Linked DNA regions of Drosophila melanogaster. The protein of the gene in region 3 interacts with the protein of the main gene of each other region in a pairwise test. Each region holds a gene or a part of one and is shown on either strand. Other genes may lie near its edges. The genes, in order: Cpr35B, CG1792, aspr and fkh.

Region 1 (3,667 bases), on a different chromosome or scaffold from region 3:
ACACATGGAACGTATAAAAATAATAAATTACACGAAGCGAGAGGCAACTGGAGTCCCGGTCGAGTTGGGTCGAGAAGGGATTTTTGTGGAGCGTTTATTATGCGCACAATAAACGCGGCGGGCGCAGCGGCGACATAAATTAAATTTATGATGCTTATAAATATTCCACAGTCATTTGTAATACAGCAACAAACGAGGGCAACAGGATAACGCAAGGATGTGCCGAGCCTGTCTGTTAAACAAATTGTAGCCAACTCGGGCTGAGGGGAAAGCAACAAACAAACAAAAACACACGCACTCGCGAATGCTAGGGAGATATATATATTTGATTTATGGGTGTGCGCGGATGAATAAAGGACTTTCAACTCCGAAAACCCGATTGCCACCACTAGAAGTGAAAAGAAATCGCCCATAAAAAATCGCCATGTGCACGCATATATACAATATGTGTGTATGCTTGCATAAAAAATACAAGTTTCAGCCACCTGAAATAGCCAGCGAATAGATAGATATGCGGGCTAATTTATGGATAAACTGTACAAATATGATTTATAATAATCGAATTTGTGATATATCTCGCCTGTCGTGTCGCACATTACTGATTCTGACCCAAATTACGGTCTATGCGATTCTCGTCTTGGTGTTGAGTCGCGAATGCCTGCCTATTCAATTCATAAATCACCATATGCTAAATATGCTAAAATTTCACTAATAATTTGAAATGTTTAAATATTCCAAATGTATCGAAAAGAGCTATCTACTGTGATTTGTTTCTTTTTTAAGTTAATAGTTCGTTGGTAAGTATAGAAACTTTATAATTCGATTTTAATAGGTTTTAGGGAAACTTTAGTTACACTTCTTGTCCATTTCAAATCAAATAATTATTTCAATTTTGAAAATATTTGCCTGATTTATTTTGGTATAACAACAATAGGTATTTGGTAAGAGTTCAATAAACGATTGATAAACAATTGTATAGCTTAGGGGTCAACTCAATGGTAACCGTGTCCGTGCTCGAAACCATGATCCTGACCGTGGCTGTGGCCGTGCCCATGTCCGTGTTCCTGTTTCAGCGAATAGCTGTGGGAGCTGCTTCCGTGACCATGTCCATGACCATGACCGTGACCGTGCTCCTCGTGTCCGTGGCCATAGTCGTGTCCGGATTGCGAGGAGTGCTCCTCGAACTCAACGTGTCCGCCCTCGTAGCCGCTGTGTCCATGGCCATGGTGCTCCGCCTGGTGGTGATCGTGGAGCTTCTCGCGATGGACATGAGCCTCGAATCCCTTGTGCTTGTCCGCCGTGTAGTGGACAGTTCGCTTGTGGCCATCGGCATCGATCAACTCATAGTGTCCGGTAACCGTGTGGCCATGTCGTGACTCACTCTGTGACTTCACATCCCCAGTCTTTTGATCCTTGACGCCGTACTGGAAGTCATACTCAGCATGGGAGTCATGGTGATCATCATGCCCGTGATGGTCGTGATGATGACCGTGATGTTCCTCGTGATGATCGTCGTGCGATGTTAGATGCACGGAGGCATGACTGGTGGCTCCACCGTGATGACCGTGGTGTTCGTGGCCATGGAAAGGAGCTGCCCGAATAGCCGCAATGGCCAAGAGGGCAAAGGCGATGAAAAACTAAGGAAAATCGAGGTGAATAATAATTTGCTTTAGTTGTTATCCTTTTTTGCTGAACTCACCTTTTGAGCCATGGTACCGCAGCTAGTTTATGAGTTAATCTTAGCTAGACTACTGTTGTCTGATCTCCAGACCAAAGTGAACTGTACCTAAAACACCTTTAACCCGGCCTTTTTATAGTTGGAATAAATCGAACCCATAGGTTAAACTTTCAAAAAAGAATTGGTAAATCGGTCTTTAGTTACGCCCCAATTTGCAGTTCAAGATCAGGTCGTACTTTCGCCCCAGAGACGTGCAATTATATTCGACTGCCAGTTCGACCCTTTTATTTAGCTGTTGTTTCGAAAATCCGTAAAAAAAAAAAATAAATAAACATAAAAATGAGGAAAGAAAAGAATGGCAGTGTAGTAATTCATTGTAAAATTTACTGTCGCAACAATTGCCAATTTAAAGTGGCATTGTTTATGCATCGCATCGCTGTCGTTGTCGGCCATTATAATCCCCCGGCTTGGAGTCGGATTTGGATTGGGATTGGTATATGTGGGCATAGCCAAGAAACAAACGAGCCAAAAGATTTATATGCCTGACAAACGTCTTCGAGTCGTTGACGTCAATCAGGCCTGACAAAAAGTCATCAGAATTGCAGTTTGCAGTTCTCCCTCGGCAGCGGCTTCTTCATTTTGGCCAGATCGGAAAGGCTTGTCTGCTCTCCTCAATCCCAATTCCAATCCCATCCCATCCCAATCCCAGTCCCGTTTCCCGATCCCGATCGGGATCCCAACTTTCGGTGGACTGTTGTCCCGCCAGTCCGCCTGTCAGCAGTCAATCGGCTACCGTCTGTCAATGTCGTGTCGCCTTCATCAAAGGCCACATTCGAGTTGACAATGGGGATATTGGTTCTGTTTTGTAATCCGCAAAGGATACGGATTTTTGAAAGTGCTCAAGTCTGGCAAGAAGAGCTACGTGGCTGGATGGAACATACTTGAATGCAATTTGCATTTGATGCGTGAATTAGCTGGGAATGTAATAATTGGATGAGAATGTTCAGAAAGAAGGGATAGAAGAACATGGCTAACAGATTCAAGGACCATCAGTTATATGATGCTAAGTATTTATTAGTATTTATTACTATTTTTACTTTTGGTACCCTCTATGTACCCTCAATGCCTTAAATTATGCTCCTTCTGCTGTGTTTAGATAACTTTATGCAACAGTTGTGGTTTAATTGATACTGATTATGGTAACTGGGCTTATGCATCCAAAAGTCGAGATCTGGGAGCAGTGAAAGCCCCCTTCTTTCATCATCGAAATTGCCCTTATGGCAGTGGTCTGAACGTGGCACAGAGCCGCAATGTTGCTGCCGCAAGTTGAGAGTCGCAAGTTGCAAGTTGCCAGTTGCCGTCGCTGTCGACTCATCGTTGTCAGTCAAAGGGGCAAACGAAAGGCTGCGTGGTTTGGTTGGCTGGTTTCGTTGTCAGTGTCATTGCTGGCTGCGTTTTGTGGGCACATTTCGGCTGCTTGATTACTCATGTCAATCAGGCTTCCAAACAGCGACGACATGCTGTCAATCTTTGTGTCATGGCCGCTAAAGTTGTTGGTCGGTTGGTCGGTCGTTTTGGCCGGTTGGCCAGTTGCTGGAGTCGTACAACAAGTACGCTTGATTGCCGGGCCCAAAAGGCTGGGTAAAAGGGTAAATACAGGACAGCAACAACAAAAAAAAATAGGAGGCGATGGGGAAAACCGATGATGCCACAAAGGTGCCCGGTGGCAGTGACAGGACTGTAGTTGTAGCCCATTCGATTGATGTGCATTGTATGTAAATTGGGCGGTCGTTTTCGCATTTGATGCCCTGTCAAGGGATAATCAACAGCAGCAGCAGCAGCAGGAACGGCAGCAGATCAACAACCGCAGACAACGAAGGGACAACTTTAACATTCACTTCTACTCGTTGCAAGTCGCAAGTTGCAACTCATTATGCGTCGCATACGAAATTGTTCCCCACTGTAACGAGCTTAAGAAATACGATCAAA
Region 2 (4,620 bases), on a different chromosome or scaffold from region 3:
ATCATCGACGGCTATGTGGATCCCTCTGGAGGCAATCGATTCTGTCTGGGCGCCTTGAGCAATGTTCATCGCACTGAACAATCGGAACGGGCCAGGTGAGTACATCCCCCTGGGAGTAACTTGCAGAGCAGGGATTAATTACCAAGTTCCATGCAGGCTCCACATCGGCAAGGGCGTGCAATTGGATCTGCGTGGGGAGGGCGACGTCTGGCTGCGCTGTCTTAGTGACAATTCAGTTTTCGTACAAAGCTATTATCTGGATCGCGAGGCAGGACGCACACCTGGCGATGCTGTGCACAAGATTTATCCGGCCGCGTGCATAAAGGTTGGTGCAATCAAGAGAGTTTAATGTGATAGCTTAACATACATTTTCTCATGCAGGTGTTTGACCTGCGCCAGTGCCACCAGCAGATGCACTCGCTGGCGACCAATGCGCAGGCAGCGGCCGCTGCTCAGGCGGCAGCCGTGGCCGGAGTGGCCAATCAGCAAATGGGCGGCGGCGGAAGGAGTAAGTAGATGGAATCAGTTTGATTTAGGGAAAACTAATGTGTTGATGCGGTATTCCAGGCATGACAGCAGCGGCTGGAATTGGCGTGGACGATCTGCGCCGGTTATGCATCCTGCGCCTGAGCTTCGTCAAGGGCTGGGGACCTGACTACCCACGCCAGTCCATCAAAGAAACGCCCTGCTGGATCGAGGTGCACCTGCATCGCGCCCTGCAGCTGCTGGACGAAGTGCTGCACGCCATGCCGATCGATGGCCCGCGTGCCGCCGCCTAATCCGTATTTATTATTGGCCCACATCTATGCTAAGGACTCAGTTTTAGCGGCAGCTATCCGTCAGCTATTTGCGGATTTTGTGTTTTTCATTTGCAATTCTGATTACGATTATGTTTGCCTTTGATTATTTGATAATAATTTTTATAAAAAATTGAAACAACTTAGAAGTCTTAAGTATGCAGCTGTAAAGCACTAAGCATCTAGTTTTATGTACTATACTTAAATATACGCCCACACAACACCGGAGATACTGAACAAGCGGCCAATGTTTGTTGTCCATTTCCTGCCACGAAAATTACAAATTAAAAAAAAAAAAAACGAGAAGCATACACAGCATTACAATCATCCAAGCCACAGGGCGAAACAAAAAGAGACATCGATGCACCCATAAATACATTCATTTGATGTAAAATGCAGCATAAATAAGGCAAGCGAAACAAGTAGATGTAACATAAGTGTAATAAACAGACCGTGAAATTACGATTCTAAAGGCTTCTTTTCACTGATAGCACTGCATACGCAGATCCACCTGCTGGTCCAGCCAGTTGATCCAATCTGGAGTGATAGGTCGCTCCAGGGTGACCTCGTGGAAGATCTCCACTCGACGCGTCTCCACGAACATAAAACTCTTAAACAAATGCAGCGATGCAGCGTTGTCCATGTCGATCTTGACCTCGAATTTATCCAATTTAAGCTGGGGCTGCGATTGGGCGTACTTGAGCATGAGGAGCATGGCTTCCCTGCCGAATCCCTTGCCCCGTGCATAAGGTTCGGCAATCATGATTTCCGCCTCCGCCGTTGGTATCTGGCTATCGGGATCTTGGTGCAGGAAGAGATTGGTGTCGCCCACCATGGCGGCAATCTCATCCTGATCACGCGAATAAGTCTCTGCATCCAGGACAATGAAGGTCAGCTTGTCGCTGTCCTCCCTCCAACTCCTTTGCATCTCGTGCTCCTCTTCTAAGGTCAGTTCCTCGGATGCGGTCAACTCCCTCAGGGTCTCGTTGCTCATCCACTCGTGGTACTTGGGCACGTGGCGCGCTTCGTAGGGCACAAGGATGACCCTGTGACCCAGTATTTTGGTGTTCTCGTTTAGATGCATCCTTAAATTTGGAAAAACTTAGGAATATTCTACAATCTGGAAATATTTGTTATTGTAAGCTTGTTTACATCAATCAGCTGCTCAAGCTATATAGTGGCCACCTGAATCTACACTGTAAGGAATTCTCTTTGCGTAAGCACTGCAAATAAGGTAATATTTTTGAAATGAACTCTTAAATCGAATGGAGAAAAGCGAGTAATCAAATAAAGTAATATCAAATAATCAATCGAATTAAAAATTAAGATCTGTTCAGGAATCCCCCTTACGATGTTGTGGCAGCGGTGCCACATCTTCTTAGCTATAACAGTCTGGCATTGCCAAAGGAGCAACAATATGAAAAGCAGAGCAATTTTCTGATTAATTTTTTCTTAAGTGTTACTAAATAAATAAGTTTAAAAATGCCGAATCGTAATTGCCGGACTTGCGGCCTGTTCATTTTCTGTTCGACGCCCAGTAACCTCTTCGAGGAGCCCAATTCCGTAATGCTGCACCAGATCGAGGTTCTTACTGGTTTGTTTGTGAGTACCTTTCTATTTTTGTGTTTTCAAACTTAAGTCTGGATTATCCGTAGTTGCTCGGCGGACCCGGGAACGAGCTGCCCCCCTTTATTTGCTCACCCTGCGAATTGGACCTGCAGACGGCGATTGCTTTCCGGGAACGTGTGATTCGAACCCAAAAAACGCTGCAGGAAAGTCCCAACCTGGGGAACGCGGAATTGATCGAATCCTTCGCAGTTGGTGTGGAGAAGGAGATTCAGTACGCTGAAGAGGTCACCGAGATCGAGGTTATAGACCTTCTACCCGAGGAACACCTGCTGGAAGAGACGGAAGAGCCGTACGAAATATGTGAGCAGAACGAGCAGCCCCAAGTGAAGGTTCCTGCGCAGGAGAAGAAGCTCCGCAGAAGTACAAAGACCACGCCCACAGTCTTTACCTCCGTTAAGTTTGCGGACAATAGCCAGGCCACGCGCACCCAGTGGAGCAGACTCACCGAGGACGAAGTGGTGGCCCTAAAGCGGGAGCGACGCAAGCGGGATTGCATATGCGAGCAGTGTGGCCGGCACTTCACCTGCCCCAGCAACTTCAAGTTGCACCTCCTCCGACACACCGGCGTAAAGAGCTTTGCCTGTGACCAGTGCTCCCAGCAGTTCTACACTGCTACGCTTCTGCGGCGCCACCAAGAACTGCATGCGGGGAATGCTTTGTTTCAGTGTCGCTACTGCGAGGCAACCTACAGCAACGCCAGCGGACGCATCCAGCACGAACGCATGTACGACAGAACTCGTTCCCATTCATGAAACGTCTAATGCTTTTCACATATTTCTGACCACTTTCCATTTCATCAGGCGCCACACGAATGTCAAGCCCTTCACGTGCAAGGAATGCAATAAAAGCTTTGCCATGAGCGGAAAACTCCGCACGCACATGCTGAGTCACACCGGAGTGCGAGCGTTCCAGTAAGATCTTAGTTACCTGAAGTTTTATTGAGGATCCTTGACTCTGTTTATCTGTTTTTCAGCTGCGACTCCTGCCAAGTCTCCTTCGTTCGCCGCTCCCACCTGACCTCCCACTATCGCTCAAAAGGTCACGCCCACACTTCAAGCGCCCAGGCGGCACTGGACAATCCTGTGGAACTGGACGTGAAGGCCAGTAACGGCATGCAGACAGGGGCTAAGGATGAGGCTTTACTAGGAAAAAGTGGATCTTAGGATAAACTGTACTAAAAATCAATGGATCCCCGATCTGATATTCGGATTAATACTCAATGCACTTAATATTAATCGAAAATGGAATATGTTCAAATATGGCTGTGTTGAATAAAAACTGATTTTTTCAAAATGGCCAATAGAGATTACCTTACTTAGGCTGCGCACTAATTTTTAGTTACATTATTTTTATGTTTTAAAATATAATAAAATCTAAATTCGAACATTGTTTACCGGCTTGGGGAGTAGCCAGCATTTTAAAATGTCATGAGCCTGGTCACACTGTCTTGCACTAAATAAATTAGGGGGCGTCTTTAAATTGCAAAATTTCTTGCAAAATCAGTAGAAAAGTGCTTGGAGCTGCTGTTACAATAGATCCTAAGACCAAACGTTCTTCTCCGGAGGATAATACCTGGAACCATCACTAACCCCAATTCAAAAGTGTCAATCTGTTTCCGCAAAACTGCATGTGGTGTTTGTTTCGCTTGTTTGGTTATTTTTCCCAACTAACATCCTCTCTCTAAAATCTCGATTTCGTACTTGAATTGCGCAGCTTTTGCTTTGGGATTTTGTCCGACAATTAGGCAGAATCCATAGCGAAAGACGCAGCAAGTAGCATCGTTTACAATCCGCGAAAGTGCAGTCGCAGAATTTTCCGGCGGGGCTTCTGGCTTAACCAATGTGGCACTTCCAATGAGAAATCAATTGCAAGGCGTTGGATGCTCTCAGTATTGGTTATTGGCGAGATTGGCCCCGGGACAGCATTACTAGACAGTTCCGATCAGTCCGCACTAAACCCCTCCCGCTTTAGACACACACATCCAATACAATGGCGGAGAAGCCGCTGGCCGACTGCCCGGACTCTGGGCAGGTCCGCAAGCGTCCCCGGCTGGAGGACGAGGAGCAGGAGCTCAAGGTGGCCGGCTTTTCGCTGAGCGCCATCGAGGAAATGCGGCGGACCAGGGACAACGAGCTGCAGAACGAACCCATGGACCAGCAACTGCGACAGTTCCAGGTTCTCGACGAAGTCGGCT
Region 3 (8,522 bases):
TCGCGGCCGGTGTTGTCGTGTCCGGGCACGCAGATGGCGTTGGTGCCGCACGGATTGGGGTCGCAAAGGTCCTCCTTGGTGAAGGGACGGCAGCGCACGAAGGGATCGCCGGTCATGTCGCGGGGGCAGCTGCAGACGGGTGTGAGGCCGCGCAGGTTGCAGTCGGCGCCGATGCCGCAGGCACCCTCGCAGGTGTTCTTGCAGATGCCGTAGAAGCAGGCGGGTCGCCCGGCCGGGCAGTCGGCATCGCCATAGCACTCCGGTCGGCACTCCGTGTACGGGCTGCCAATGTAGCCCTTGGGGCACTCGCAGACAGCCCGGTGATTGCTGACCGTTCGGCAGGTGGCGCCAGTGCCGCACTGCCCGCATGCCGGCACGCACTTGAAGTTGCTGGAGCACATGTCCCGGCTGCTGCAGTCGCCATCGTGATCGCACTCGTGGCGACAGCCGCTCAGCGGATTGCCCACATAGCCGTGAACGCATGAGCAGGTGGGCACGCCGTTGATGATCTCGCACTTGGTGTTAACGCCGCACGGACTGGGATGGCACTGCTCCTCTGCGGAATGGAATGAGAGATTAATGTTTGGAAATGGACGACACACAGCAGTGTCGTAGACTCGCCCACAAAGCTGTCTGCAACAGTATATTTTGAATGCGGCATGGCGATGATGGATTCATTTCCATCTGAGCAAGACTTTTCAGTAAGTAAGTGCTATATTGCCAAGTTCAAGTGTCGATTTAGTTGAGTCTATGAAAAGTTCAATCGGCCGACGAAGGAAGTTGTTTTCCACCCGACCTTTCACCTTTCACCTTTCACCATCGTTGGGGGTTGTGGCCCCTGTCAACATCCGCTGTTGCTGCCCCATTTTTGATTTATGCCGGGTCATGTGACTTGTGTTCCGGTCAAATCGGGAAAATACCTCCAATGGGGCCAATAATTGGGGGCCGGCCACTCAAAGTGGGCAAATAGAAAATCATATTCAAATAGCCGGGCTCATTTATGCGCATATTTTTGGTTTTTACCCCATATTTTCTTTTATTTTTGCACCAATTGTTGTTACTCGTCGTTCAAGATGATGATGATGATGATGGTGATGATGATGATGATGATGATGGTGGTGGTGCGGTGAGCAAGTCAAGAAATTAGTTTGCGTTGTTTTCCGTTCCGATGGCAAAAGTTTCGCCATTATCAGGCCTTTTCTCTTACATTTCCTTTTGACATAATTTGCGAGAAGCAGCAACTTTTCCGCGCCGGGAAAATGTATTGTAATGAAATGTGGAGTTCGGTTTTGAAAATCGATTGCAAAATGTCTTGCAACGAAAGTCGGAAATGCTCGTCGTCGACATTAAATCGATGTATTGGTAGATTTTCTTCGAAATATATAGCTAACCAAATAGTTATTTTTTATTATCGGCGTGGCAAACGCATTGTGGACCTTTAAATGTTAGCAATTCATTTGTATTCCTGCACGAAATCTTTAAGGCAAATGTCCGTGAATGTTTTCAGTTGGTCTGCAACACGCCCAAAGGGAATCGCAACTGCTTCGGCTCCCCAGGAACATGAATGGAAAAGAATCCGGTGTCCTTGGGGCGGCAGCAGGGAACATCATGGAGCAGGGAATCCGAGCTACTTCCATTCCCCGCAGACTGTTCGTTTGCAATTATTGTTTCCAAGTCAGTTGCTAATTGGAAATGCAAATAAATATTGTATTTCAATGGGAATTGCACGCAAACGGAGGCCGGAGTAAAGGCAACACAGAAAGGGATTTAAGTGAAATCAAGAATATATGTATATCGGAGGACCAGTTAAGATGCAGAAATCGGAAAAGGGGCGAGAAATGCCAGGCCCTTGGACTCGACACGAATCCCGAATGAGCAACCAACGTAGAGATGCAATTTATTGACGCCGACTCTTGGACGGACAGCAATTGAAATTGGTTTTCAACTGACTTTATTTTAAAGAAATTCAAGCCAAAGATAATATTTAGCAGCTCAATATTGGCGTTAAAAGTTAAGGAATATAATAGATTCGTTGAGGTAGAAGACCCCCCCCCCCCCCCCACCCATCAAATAATTTCCTGGTTAGAAGTTCTAGTTAATTTGCCTTTTGAACATGTGCGTTTGTCCGTTCGTATAAAAGCCAGAATGTTGGTAATAAACAAGCAGGTCCTAGTGACATTTACACCGCTCAACTTTCACGGTCACAATTTAGAAAAAAGCTTTCAATTATGTGTTAATTTTAATATTTATAGTTAAGAAATTCCCAGCAGGAATTATTTCAACTAATGACGGAACCTGCGCTTAGCCACTATTTATGGCAAGTTCTGAATATGAAGTGTTTGGAAATGTTACTATTCCCATTTAGAACGCTTAAATATTTAAGCCGATCAAATTACGTTCAGTGTGCTTCAGTTTGTCGTTCTAAAGATGATATTTTTCAATCAGTTTCTTGCAGTGTAGCCCCCGGGTGGATCAAGTTGTCTTCTTCCAGCGAAATTCCCAAGCCACTCGGCCGACCTGTGCTACCTGAATGGTAGCTGGCCGACCTGCGCAGCTTATGACCATAATCGGATGTTGACTGGTGCCTAACCGGGGCCACCTTTCGGTTCCGTCGGATTCCAGCTCTACTAGGCTCGACTACGGACACTCGTTGGCCTTGAGAGCTCGCCCACTGCGTCCTTGATCTTGACAATTGCGAAGCGAAATGCTATGCTAATTACCATAAAATTACAAAGGCCCCAAGTGTTGGGCGTTGGCCGTTGGCTTTGGATTATTATTATTATTATTATAATTCTCATTATCATCGAGTGCAAAATGTTATGCAAGCAAGGTAAACCCACATGCTGTCCAGAGGCCCAGCCCCCTGTTTTTGTCAATACACTAGATTTGACCAAATTTGGCAATACCACTTGGATTTGCGACGTCATCTTGCCACTTATCTAGCACCTCATTGTGGAGAAGGGATTCGCGAGTGGGCTAATTAATCGATGTACCTATGTCAATCCATGTCTATATCTATGCATTTCCGGAACAATCAGTCGTATGTCCACTTTGCATTAATGCAAAAAAAAAATAATAATAATAAATAAAACATAATAAACAACATGAGTTGTTTACAAATTGTTTACAAATATGTCGCGATCTATGTGTTCATTTAGTTTGAAATTTTTCTATTAGACAAGGCATTGCATTATGCCAATTTTCAAGTGCATTCGTGTATTGCCAATAATTTTAACACTGCAAACACTCCGCTCCTCTTGGTTCATCTCATTGTTATGTAACTCAGTAAAGAAACCTGTTTGCCCTTGATTTAATTCAAGTGGTCAAGGCTTATTTCTCGGCTTGGTTTTCACATCCACACTATGTATGTACATACATGTATGATCACTTGCATCTTTTAGCTAATTAAAATTTTAACCAGCTGATGATTGTAATTCATATATTATTAGTACATAATCAATGTTAAGATGTGCGCGTTAAGAACTAAGAGCTTTTAATTGATTCGATCATCTACTAGTACATATATCTTTAAATTGTGCATTTCTCAGATTTCCCAATTAATTAATTTATTTAATCGTGAAACGAAATACACAATCGAAGCGGATTGATTTCAACAGCTCCCAGTTGAGCGAACGACTCTTATGACACCCGGCATTTTAATCGATTTTGAGCTCTGCCACGCCTACCCCGCGGCATGTGGGCGGTAGTGGAGTGGTCAGGCACTTACCCGGATCGTTGAGGTGGCAGGCGTGGTATGGGTCGCCATTGTAGCCGGCGGGGCAGCTGCACACGGCCACGTGGTTGCGGGCCTGGAAAGAGCAAGCGGAGGTGGCGTAGAGTGCCGATGGTCAGAATGCGAGGGAATGCGCCAGAAGTTGGCCGTGGAGGAGTGTTGGCGACATAAAAGTCCCACTTACGTCACAATTGGAGCCAATGCCACAGGCACCCACGCAGGGATTAACGCAGCGATTGTCCTTGCACTGCAGGTTGTCGCGACAGTCGACGTTGTCCAGGCACTCGCCGCGATTGCAGTGGGTGAGCGGATTACCGCTGAATCCGGGCGGGCACGAGCAGACGGGCCGTCCTCCGGAGGCCTCCTGGCACACGGCGTTCACGCCGCACGGGCTACCGCTGCATCCGCTCGCGTAGGACTGCGCTGTGTGGGCGAGAGGAGAGGAGAGAGGCACAGGCGGTGAGGTGATGCACTGGTGCGCAGGTGAACTTGTGTCTCAATCTAATCTCTAATGCTACGCTACTACGAGTATGGTATGTACATACATATGTATACTATACTATACTATACTATACTATACTATATACTATACTATATATATATAGGGGTTAGGGGTTAGGGGTTAGCTACTGCAGACACATTTGGGGCGCGGGGTCAATGGTCAAGGATCAAGGGTCAAGGGTCAGGGGTCAGGGTGCTGGCGGCGGTGCTCTCCTCCTATGTACATCGTGCTGGTGCGGTAAGACTACGAATACGGATACTGATAGGCAAGCTGTGTAAATACCACGTGTGTAGACCGGATCTCTATAGACAACCCGCTGCAGGGATCGCCCATCGCCGTAGGTGTAGTAAGTGCGGTACGTGCAGTTCACGCAGCGCTTCCCCAGCTTTTTACCTGCGGCCAGTTGGGGCAAGGACGCGATGGCCACCGCCACCAGGGCCACGACCAGGAGCTGCTGCTGCAAGAGAAGGATCAGCTGCGATTAGTGCTGCTATCACTTGAATTTAAATTCAATACGATACCGATCTAAGATGAATATAATATTTGAATATATTTGAATACTAACTTGAAGTAACTCCAAATGGAGTGCATTCACTAGTTCTCATTAGTAACGAAACTAAATAAAAGACAACGGTAATACAAAGATAAATGTCATATTCTGCGTCAATCGTAGAGCCAGTCGAATGAAATGAGTTTGAACTGGATTGGGATTCATTCACTAAAGTATTCGATATGAACAAACATCTCAATCGAGAAGCGAGTATCACGCCCCCTTTGCCGGTTTATGTGTCATAATCGCATTCGAGTTCTGAAAAAGCCCAATAAACATGACTAACTCGATGATCCGCTGTTTGGTAGCAAACATTGGCTTGGACTTGGACTCTCAGTGGTCAGTGGGATTCTGGTGGCACCATGTTTGGGCTAACTGGGCATGGAGATGAGACGAGACGAGACGAGACGATCGAGATGATGATATGGCTTCGCTCTCAAGGTGGCGATCATTGTTGGCGAATGACACATGGGTGATAAACTTGTTGTCCGCTTCTTTGGAAGCTCAATTCGGGCTAAAAACAATTATTCAAATATCGGCATACAATAAGAATATGCAAATGGGGGTCGGCTGCCTTTTCGAATTACTCTGAATGACCAATATGGTAGTCCATGTTCGTATCAACTAAGTTGTCGATCATCGCGTAAATGGCACGGATGGATCCACCGAGGGAGGAAATTGGATTTTTTTCTTAAATCACACATCTTGCAGGGTGATTTATAATCTGATTACATTGCGCAAGGGAAGTGAAGTGAATCAGAGCCATATTTGTTATATTATATATGTACATACATATGTACATTTAAATAATTGCTTTTGGAAGGGCGAGAACTAAATAGTCAACTATATAATCTGTTCAATCTTGAATTAGTTAAATAAAACGTAAAACCTGTCAGAGTTTAGATTAAATTAATGCTTTCTAAATTTAAATAATGAGCAAGAAAATGTTAAGTGCTCAACATAAGTAGGTAAAAAGGTAAACAATTCAAATCTATTGGACTTTTTACTCTTCTCGTAATGGCAATTAAAATAACAAGCTATGCTAAAGTGCTAGAAACTAATTGGTTTGTGTTTTTGGCTTTGTGCACAAACAAATGAATAATGGGCTTGATGTTTACTTGGGCAGCTTAAAAAGCGTTGAGTGATTGATCATCGCCAAAAAAAACAAAAAAATGGGCAGATAAAAGGCAGATCGAAGACACTCAAAAGAATAAACCGATCGTGGGCTTCAGAAACATTACGAGTATGTGGGAATATTTCTTGGTTCATTCGATGTATTTGCAAATCCATTCACCACTATTCATCTAGCCGGAAGTAAATAGCAAATAGCAAAGTTAAGTCCTTACATTGTGAAATGAATATTTTTTTTGTCGTGTTTGCTTTAAGTACATCAATATTCCATTCACGTATCATTTACTGAATGCATATTTTATGTATTGCCTTTGTGCGTAATTTTTTCACTTAAGTTTTCGCGGTGAAGAAAATAAACAGCAAATAAATGTGCAAGTTTAAATCTATATACTTATTCGTGATTCAGATTCTTTCCTTAAATCGAACCCATTTTTATTACTTTTATAAAATTGTTTATAAATTATCCATCGTTGATAGATTGCTTCAGTTTAGATGATTTAAAAAAAAAAAAGGATATATTCCTTAACACACGTTTATATATACATATTGATTTTGGTTATTCCCACTGCAACTCACCATTTTCGGGGTTCAGTTCTTAGAAAACACTAGCACTACAGCAGATAAAGAACGTAAAATAAAAAACAAAACAAAAAGTGTCAACTGATAAATGGTTGCGATTTCCCACTTGGCACGCTTCGCTTTCAACTGAGTCGGCTTCTAGACGAGCTTGGGCTATTTATAAGGCCGCAACTCTTAACTTGGCCGAGAAACAGCTGAGCGACGTTGGCGTCATCTCTCAGCTGCTCTGCTCTGCTCTGATCTGCTCACCTTCCCTTCCCGAATTCCCCTCTACCCCGCATCCACAACCCTTCCACTTACACAGAGAAAAAACTATAGTATAGCTTGATATTAAAGATTTGTAAAGTAAATTATCTCTCCTCAGGTAGTAGCATCCAATAGTTGTTGTAATTTTAACAAAATAAAGATCGGAATTTACCAAATTCATTAGTTTTATAACTAATTTACCATTATGTCTGCATAAGTTCAACTTGCTAAACTAGAAACATTTCGAGTAACGAAAGCAGTAGATCAAATTGATGAAGTAGTTAATTTAGTTATATATATTTGTTCAGCCTGTCAGTTGGAAAACTATTTTTCCCAATGCACCAGCATTCTGTCTCATAACTCTGTTTGACAAGCTTGTTTTGCTGTTTGTTGACTTTGTATATTGTGCTGCTCGATTTTAGCTAAAATCATTTCAGTCCAAATCGCTTCTCAGACTGAGTCATTCGTACACACATACATATACATATATATACATATATTTGCCTGGGCATCGGGCTATTTATATACGCGTACTTGACGCGACTTTGCTTCGGATTGTTTTGGTCATGCCTTTGCTATGATGGCTCGATTTCTGCGTGGGCCGCTGCATCCAAGTGCCGTGGGTCGAACTTGGCTGGGCTTCCTACTAAACACGGCTCCGGATCGTAGGCAACTTGGCTGTGAACGAAGAAATTGCCCACTTGACACAATGGGCAGGTCGCTAGTACTAGGCGGTACCTGGTAATATATGTACACACATATTTCTGAAAGCATCCAAAACTAAGCGACTCTTTATCTTTGTAGGATTTAAAAGACAGTTATGTCATTTAAATTTACAAATCTATTATACTATAATTTATACCGATTCTTCAAACAGAATGTATCTTATCCGCACCGGATGCCTATTACTACTAACTGGGGGAAATATTCAATATGGTCATTTCGCTAAGGTTTTTTCTTCTTTCTATTTCTTCTTAATTGGGCATAAGATATATGTAGATAATCGCATTACAAAATTTAATTAATTTCACGAATTTACATATTTTTCAATCTGAAATATGTCGGAAATTGAGGAGAACAAAAAATCGCCCATTTCCGTTCAAATAGTAAGCGAAAAGAGAATATACATAAATGAAAGAAAATAAAATTTGAAAAAAAAAAAAAACTGAGAGGCCGTAAATATTCTTGATTAGCTTGAGGTATTCCGATTCACTCATACCACACAATAAGCCAATTGGGTATTTCATTGAACATCTTCACTAACTCACTCTACCGTTTCCTAAGTCCATTTCAATGGCATTCGAGTTTAAAATATAAGCTTAGCAAGACCGGCTCCACTTTCATTCGATATCAAAAAGAACGGATTAAGAACAAACGAATCTGCACTGGAATCGAGCCAATTAAAACGAGAATCTTGACTTCTGCTGGCTGCGTGGGCATTGGTTAGAATGAATAATAGAGATGGTTTGACCTATAGCAATAAGATAATGACCATTTGCCAATTTGCAATCGACTACCATTTTCAAATGAAATGGCATCATTGAATGGCATCGCTTAAGCTCCGCAAATCGAATCGATATGGGAATATTACAGATTAAACTGCAAATTGAAACGTACGCCAATTGGCCATAATTGAATGAGAATTCACCTGACGACCGATACGGGCACCTGTTCTTTGGGCCAACTTAATTATACCGTCTTGGCCTACAAATCTCTGGGCCAACACTTAGCTTACCATATTTTAGCTGCCTATATTTTGTCTCCTTTCCTTTCCAACAGCC
Region 4 (7,546 bases), on a different chromosome or scaffold from region 3:
AATAAAATGTGTCGTATGGACATATAGAAAATGGTGACCTTCTCGCTTAATTAAAAGCGACAACTGCTCGTCAAACACGCTCATGCCCGAGCTCTAGATAAGCAATAATTTTAATGTCTTCGGAATGTCCGAGAATCGTAGGACCTGGATCGTAGATTCTTCCAAATGAATCACACCGATTTTAATCAAAAGGTGGTAGTAGTTCGCCAGGGGGAACTGCGTCGGATCAGGCTCTGTTGGGTTATATTGCAGCGATAAGGTCCATTGCAGCGATAGGGAAGGTGCTCGAACTCGGCTCGTAGTGCTCCATGAATATTACTAGAAAGCAAACAGAGGGGAGTCGAGTCAAGTCGGGCAGAAGATATCCACTACCCTTCCCGCTCTTTTTGGCCAGAGGGATCGGGCTGGGTTGTGCTGGACTGAGATGGGTTAGTCAGTGTGTCAAGTCCGGGCGGGAATGGGTCGGTATAGGACGGTATGGGATGGGCTGGGATGGGTCCCATGTCCCATCCTGGTTGTTTGTTTACCTTCTTGTTCCGTTGCAATTTATGAGTGCACGGCGATAAGGGTTTATCGTGGCATGGTAGTGGTGGAAAACTGCACTCTGCATCTGAGTGACGGCGATAAGATAGCGACTCCTGGAACTACTCAGCTCAGCTATCGGTCGTTCAATTCGAATTCGCTGCATTGATAGCGTCGATAGCGTCGATGGAGATAGTCAGCCATCCGGGCGGCCCAATCAATATATAAATGATTGTTGGAGGTCAGTTGCTTGAGTCAACAAAGGTTGGGAAATGAAAACTAATTTATGGTACTTTTTTTCCTTTTTCTTGTATTTCAAACATTAAAATAGTCGATTTTGGTTGTCGTTGACGTTGTGTTTGTTTTGCATGATTTATAATAATATTAATTTTACTAGCTTTAGAGTTGGATTTTAATTCTTGCGTTGACATTTATTGAATTTTATATTGTGTATTTTACAATAATTTTCATTTGTTTCTGTGTCTGTCAGTGTCAGTATGTGTGTGTGTGTGTGGGTGTTTATATTTAGACTATTTTTTATCAAGTTTAATTAATTAGCTTAGCTCAATGTAAAAATGGGTCTTTGTTTTGTGTTTGCAATTGGTTTTTTATTTTTCATTACGCACAATATAACTAATATTAAAAATTATTGAATAATAATTGCAGTTTCGCTTTTTATGTGATTTTTTTTCATTTTTGTTTTTTGCTTTCATTATTTATGCTAATTAAACGTTAAATGCTATACAGTATTTATATTTATACTATGTTTACTTTCAAGTGGTGTGGCATAATTTCATACAATTTGATTAATTCTCGAGTTAGTTAAAAATTGGTTGCTTGCAATGGGTCCTTAGTTAAATTGGGTTTCTTGGGGAGGGGGTTGCTTAAATGTATCTATTTATAGATTATTTACAAAATGCCTTAATCTAACGAATTCGTACAACAACAGAAGACACATAATGTAAATGAAATGCGGGATTTTGCGATACATGGGCGTATATCGATGCGCGTATATATAAATGGAAATTTGTTAAATTATTCAGTTAAAACGTGTCGTTTTCTTATGCATGGCCAGATTTTGTTGCTTAGATAGTTGAAGATTCTTAGGGTTTTGCTGGACTGCTCAATATGATGATTTCGGTTTTAGATTTCTTTTTGGTTTTGATCTTTTGCGATTCGAATTCGATTGCGATTGCCTTTGGATAAAGGGTTTAGTATTTGTATCTCTCTTTTTGGGACTGTTTCATTTGGGGCTTTGTTTTATGAAAGAACATTACACACGATCCCTTCTTTACATCTCCTCTCCTCAATCTTCTCCTTAATCGGATACATTTAAAATGTGATTTCAAATTTTCAGTTATAACCGCTTTGATTGTTATTGCTTGTTTCGAAACAACGAAAACAAATGGCACGGAATTATTATTTTGTATTTGTATTAGCAAAACGTAAAATTGTTAACAAAAGTTCTGCTGCACTTACAACTACATCACGGTTTCTTTCGCTCCTCCTCCTCCTGCTCTATGTCGATTTAATAACCCCCCGGAACAGAATCTATATAATCTACAATATATAGTACTGGAACTGAACAACACAAAAGGCAGCGCTCTCGATCGGCTCTTCATAGGTATCTCTATATGTACAAGTGCGAGTTGCGGCCCAAGACTCACGTGCTCAAAGGATGAGGATGCGAGTGCGGATGCGGATGCGGCCAGGTGCTAAAAGCCACCGCCACTGCACTCGCTAATTGGCAGGCCCGCTACAAAGCCGCTGCCTGTGGAGATCGGGATCTATAGCTATAGCTACAGAAGATTCTGCAGAGCGGCGGCTCCATTGAAAGCCAGGCCGTGATTCCAATTTCTGTAGCCTGCCGCCGCGGCATACTGCTGATAGTTGTTGTACAACTGCTGCTGGGCGGCCTGATGCTGCTGCAGTTGCTCCTCGCTCAGATCGCTGGTGATGTTCGATGAGTCCTCCTGCAGTTCCTGCAGCAGTTGTTGCTGCTGCTGGTGGTGTTGCTGCTGCGCCGCCGCCTGCTGTTGTTGCTGCTGCTGGTGCTGCTGTTGCAGCTTCTGTGAGTAGTTAGAGCCCGATCCTGAACCCGATCCTGACCCAGATCCCGAGGCCGAAGCCGATCCCGCCTTGCCGCTGGCCTTTGCTGATGTTGCTGGTGTATTGGAAGCGGATGTCAGTTGCTGCGCCGACTGCTGCATCTGCTGCTGCTGCTGATGCAGCTGGTGCTGCTGCTGTTGCTGCTGGTGTTGCTGGTGCTGCTGCTGCAAGTGCTGTTGCTGCTGCGAGCGCAGCATCTGCTCCGCGCGTCCTTAAGCCAGCGGGTATTGGTGATGTCACAAGCTCGTGGTTCCGGCGGGCGCATGGTAGCCAAGACTCTGGTAGTAGGAGTCCTGGCCTAAGGCAGCGTGTGAGTTGGTCAGCGGACTGAGGGCGTTGTAGCCGGCGTACTGGCTCATGTCGTACATCTTGATGTCCGCCTTGGACTCCGTGGGCAGCAGGCGGTTGATGGAGAACGGATGGCTGGAGGGCGTGTAGCCAGAGGGCTCCTGCTTCAGCGGATGCATCGACGAGTGGTAGTCGGTGATCAGCGACGGATGGCACCGATTGGCCATCATCGCCGACAGCTCCTCCTGCTGCAACTGGTGGTGCTGATGGTGGTGATGTGTGGGCACATGCTGCGGCTGCTGGCTGAGGCACAGTTCGGCATTGGCATGCAACATGGCCAGGGCCTCCGCGTCCTTGCTGTGCGCTGCACTCAGGACATTTACGCCGGCGATCGATGCTCCGCCCGCCTCCTTGTGGTGCTGATGATGGTCCAGCCGGCTGTGGTGGTGGTGGTGCATGTGGTGCGAGTCCTCGTGATCCTTCTTGCCCGGACTGGTGGCCTCCAGGCTGCTGTGCGACGGACTCTTGTGCAGCTGCCTAATGGCCTCCTTCTTCTCGTCCTTGAAACGCTTCTGTCGCCGCAAATAGCACCCGTTCTCGAACATATTCCCCGAATCCGGATGCAGAGTCCAAAACGATCCCTTTCCTGGCTTGTCCGGCGTCCTGGGAATCTTTACGAAGCAATCGTTGAAGCTCAGCGAATGTCGAATGGAGTTCTGCCAGCGCTGCTGATTCTGCCTGTAGAACGGAAACAGATCCATGATGAACTGATAGATCTCCGAGAGCGTCAACATTCTGGTGGGGTTATTCTGAATGGCCATGGTGATCAGTGAGATGTAGCTGTATGGCGGCTTGGCATGCGTGTAGCTCCTTCTGTACGTAGTTGGTTTGTCCACCCGCGATCTGCCTAGGGAATTCGGCGATCCCGTCTCCATTTCCCGGGATCCCGGCGGCATGGCGCCATAGGTGCCGCTCAATCCCGCCGCCGACATACTCGCTGCCGACATGGCCATGCAGCCACCCATGTTCCCGAGCGGTGATCCCATGCTGGCGTAGCTCATCGAGCTGGGGGTCATGCAGTTGCCGCCCATTGAGTTCATGGCCGCCGCACCCATGCTGCCGTTCATGCTGGCATTCATGCTGGCGCTCATACTGGCACTCATGCTGGCGCTCATGCTGGCGACCGCCGCCGCCGAGTCCAGGACGCTGGAGCTGAATGTGGCCGCCGCCTGAGGGGAAACCGATGACATGCCACCCACCGGCAGGCCCATGCTGTTCATTGTGTAGGCGGATCGAGCCAGGGGACTCATGCTGCCGCCGTTGCTCGTCGGATTCGGGTTGTTATTGCTGGGCGGTGGGGGCCCACCGCCTCCTCCTCCGCCGCCGCCTCCACCGCCGCCCGACGGAGGACCACCGCCACCCGAGCTGGCCATGCTCACCGGAGCACTGCTCGGAGGCGGCTCCGCGTAGAGCTTCTGCATGATGTCAATGGTGGTCTGGTGGGGGCTACCCTTCAGAAAGCTGTTCAATAGTTGCGCCGTTATGTTGCCGGCTTTCGGAGGCGCTGCCCTCTGGTGGATCGATGGAAAAGGCAACGCGTTCTGCAACGCGTTAGTTAAAACGAAAATCAAAAAGGAGGTCTTTAAAACGTGGCTTTACTCTGATATATTGTATATCAACTGTGATTTCAGTGCACTATCACTGCTTCAATCGGTTTGCATATATCTGGCATTTTATCGAGAGCACTTCGGCACTTGTCACTTGTTGGCTGGAAGGTTCTGATTCCGTTTGCGATTCTGATTCTGATTCTAAGCTTTGTTTGTAAACACACACCGTGGTTTAATTATTTGTGCGGGATAATCATATAAAATATATATTTATTTTCTGTTATGATTCGATTCTTTTTGTATTTTCTTTGTATTTTTGTATGGGGATTTTTGTTGTCTGCCGCACCGAGCGGCCACAAAACACCGACGCACGAACGTGAATATCTAGCTGGCTGTTGGCCACTGAAGTCTGAAGCTGGGAGTTGTGCTGTGCTGTGCTGCTGCTTTTGCTGCTGCTGCTTTTGCTTTTGCTGCTTTGGCTGATGCTGCTGTTGCCGTTGCCGCTTTAGCTGCTGGTCCGCTCGAGTGTCTCTTTGGCTTGAGCTCTTGAATGTGACTGTTTGCAGAGGGGAACGCTTGTCTACTATTTGGCTTGCGCTTGCTGCCAACAAATATTGTTCGAGCCGCGCTCAAGTGCCTCGGCCGACGTCGGCGTCGACAGCGGCGGCAGCGGCAGCAGCGACGCGCCCGGGCAGCACCAGCTCCGACTCGTTCTCGCCAATGGCCCGGCGGTATAGTGCGTCTCACCACCACCCTGGCGGAGTTACCAATGACAGGCGGCGGTTCTCTTACGTACACAGTGGTGCTGCGGCGCAAGCGCATTGGTCGGTTGGCCTCTTGTATCAACAGAGCAGGGCCGGTTGCCAGGCAACTGGCCATTGGGGGGGCGTGGCCAGGCCGCAGTCAGCAACGCCCTCCACTCACACACCCTCAGCGGTGCGGACAGAGATACACGGGCAGAGATACCGGATACGCATACAGCTGCAGATACATTCGCAGTGGCCTAGCCTAATGCTGAGCGACGCCATGTTACAGTTAACGATTTTCCCTAATGCGATCAATAATCGCTCGCTCTCCTTCTCGCCGTAGCGTGCTATCAGAAAATAAAAAGAAAAAATGTGGAAAAAAAACCATTAAGACGGGTTCTGGAGACCGAATCTCTGGGGAGACTGAGAATGCGACGACGCTCTGTTTTTCGAGAGAAACAAAAAGACCGAGTGTTTTGGCCTGGCCTGGCCTGGCTTGGCTTGGCTGGGTTTGGCTCCCAAACAAGACATTTAATAATATCTGTGTGTGTTTTTTCAGCCAGTTTTTTTTCGTATCCGTACCGCTTTTTCCCTTTTGAGGTTAAGGTATGCCAATGTCACTCTCATTCATTCCCATTCGCATTCGTGGCGAGGCATCGCGAGCGGCAGCAGCAAATCATCAGAACAGCGGCGCAGTTCACCTTTTTGGCAAGTCATTGCGAAAGTGACCCAGTTCTGCATCTGGCCAGCATCAGCCGCATCTCATCCGAGCATCCCACTGCATCCTACCTAAGATACCCGAAACATAAGCATCCACAGTTCATTGATAGCGCGTGCTGGCAGCTACTTCCTGGTATCCTGGCAATTTATCCACGTTTATGGTCCCGGATAAAACGCATTCTAATTTCGGGCCATAAACCATAGACGCCTTTCCTATTCCGCTTAACCCTTTCGCTTGGCCAAGTGTATCTGCGAGTGCCTGTGTGTGTGTGTCCGTGTGCGAGTGTGTGCCAATCCGTGAGAGTGTATGTGTGTGAGCCAGGCTCATTATTGCGTGTCATAAAAGGACGATTGTCTCGTTTCTCAATGAATGTTTTGCTCAATTAAGATCTACCTGAGCGGGAGGAAAAGCGGGGAATTTCCGCATTACTTTTCCATTTGTCAATGCAGCAGTTCTTTCTCCTCTCACTTTTTTGTAGCCTTCATCTAGGCGCTGAGACATTGAATTTTTGAAATTATCAATGAAATGTAATGAAACATTTCGCTTGTGGGAGAAATCACATTTTTATGATCGCCCCATTTCCGAGTAATTATAATGACTAATGACTTATGTCATATAGAGCCGTTTCCCCTTCACAAAAGCACTACTGAGTAATATTTTTATCATATTCAAGATTATCTTCAAATTGTTTGAATAATTGTTTACAATAACCATGGGTTAGATAAGATTGAGAGATAAGCGAAACTGAATCAGGAAAAAATCTTTCGCTCAACAATGGTATTCATAATATTTAACCTGTTTAACATTGTTTGGCTTGCCACTCGGATATCTATATCCCATCGTGATGATCATTAAACATCAAACACTTTCGGTGACTGAGCACATATGTACTCAAATCCTTATGTGCACTTCTAATAACCGTAATGTGCTTAAATATTTAATATTTTTATTGTATTTCACAGGCAATTCAAGTGGCTTTGGCTCATTAATGTTTGCCGTGTGGGCGTTGGGTTGGTAGGTATTTTTGTTGTTCAGAGCGCATCAAATGTGTGCTTTTTTGGCGTAGACTCTCTGCAAATAGTAATGCCAGGCAGTCCAAAAATGTGTACTTATTTACCTTTAGTCATTTATCTATTTATTTATTTGCTTTAAAAGCGCGCCACTGTAGGTCGGATTCACATGGCGATTTACATTGCGATTCGGATTCAGATTGGCTGCCTTTTTGATACAGTCGGATGTATTCGGCTCTAAGCCATGGTCAAACTTTTTAATTAGTTTCAATTGTTGGCGCCCAACGCATCCCCAAATGGTTATTTATGGAAAATATTTGCTTTACTACTTTTTTGCCGCTTTGTTTTGATTTTCGTTGATATGGCTTTAAAATGCTGCGCTTTCTGTTTGTTTTAAGCATTTATGTGACGCATGCGCCGTGTGGCAATGACTTTACAAAATCATATACATATATATCAACCGGAGAATTTGACCAACATTTCTCAGATAGATGACGTCCGCAGCTGTATCTGTTTCTATATCTATATCGGCGTGGTGGCATA

Evidence for each region.
Region 1: the proteins of aspr (region 3) and Cpr35B interact in a two-hybrid assay, tested with the Drosophila melanogaster proteins (one large-scale study listed by BioGRID).
Region 2: the proteins of aspr (region 3) and CG1792 interact in a two-hybrid assay, tested with the Drosophila melanogaster proteins (one large-scale study listed by BioGRID).
Region 4: the proteins of aspr (region 3) and fkh interact in a two-hybrid assay, tested with the Drosophila melanogaster proteins (one large-scale study listed by BioGRID).

What each region holds. Positions count from the first base shown.
Region 1 is NT_033779.5:14,423,421-14,427,087, forward strand, and holds Cpr35B (cuticular protein 35B), read right to left. Parts: upstream 1,770-3,667; 5' UTR 1,712-1,769; coding exon 1,700-1,711; intron 1,638-1,699; coding exon 993-1,637; 3' UTR 895-992; downstream 1-894.
Region 2 is NT_033777.3:31,614,123-31,618,742, forward strand, and holds CG1792 (uncharacterized protein), read left to right. Parts: upstream 1-2,180; 5' UTR 2,181-2,279; coding exon 2,280-2,399; intron 2,400-2,452; coding exon 2,453-3,150; intron 3,151-3,226; coding exon 3,227-3,337; intron 3,338-3,399; coding exon 3,400-3,589; 3' UTR 3,590-3,715; downstream 3,716-4,620. Other genes in the region: Med (medea), read left to right, coding at 1-95, 157-325, 382-508, 568-779; Mnat9 (microtubule-associated Nat9), read right to left, coding at 1,279-1,881; pasha (partner of drosha), read left to right, coding at 4,416-4,620.
Region 3 is NC_004354.4:20,146,232-20,154,753, reverse strand, and holds the start of aspr (asperous), read right to left. Parts: upstream 6,631-8,522; 5' UTR 6,496-6,630; coding exon 6,493-6,495; intron 4,693-6,492; coding exon 4,518-4,692; intron 4,157-4,517; coding exon 3,918-4,156; intron 3,810-3,917; coding exon 3,728-3,809; intron 557-3,727; coding exon 1-556.
Region 4 is NT_033777.3:28,580,154-28,587,699, forward strand, and holds fkh (fork head), read right to left. Parts: upstream 5,112-7,546; 5' UTR 4,401-5,111; coding exon 2,868-4,400; coding exon of another isoform or gene 2,322-2,867; 3' UTR 823-2,321; downstream 1-822. UniProt on the Drosophila melanogaster protein: Fkh promotes terminal as opposed to segmental development. In the absence of fkh, this developmental switch does not occur. The nuclear localization of the fkh protein suggest that fkh regulates the transcription of other, subordinate, genes.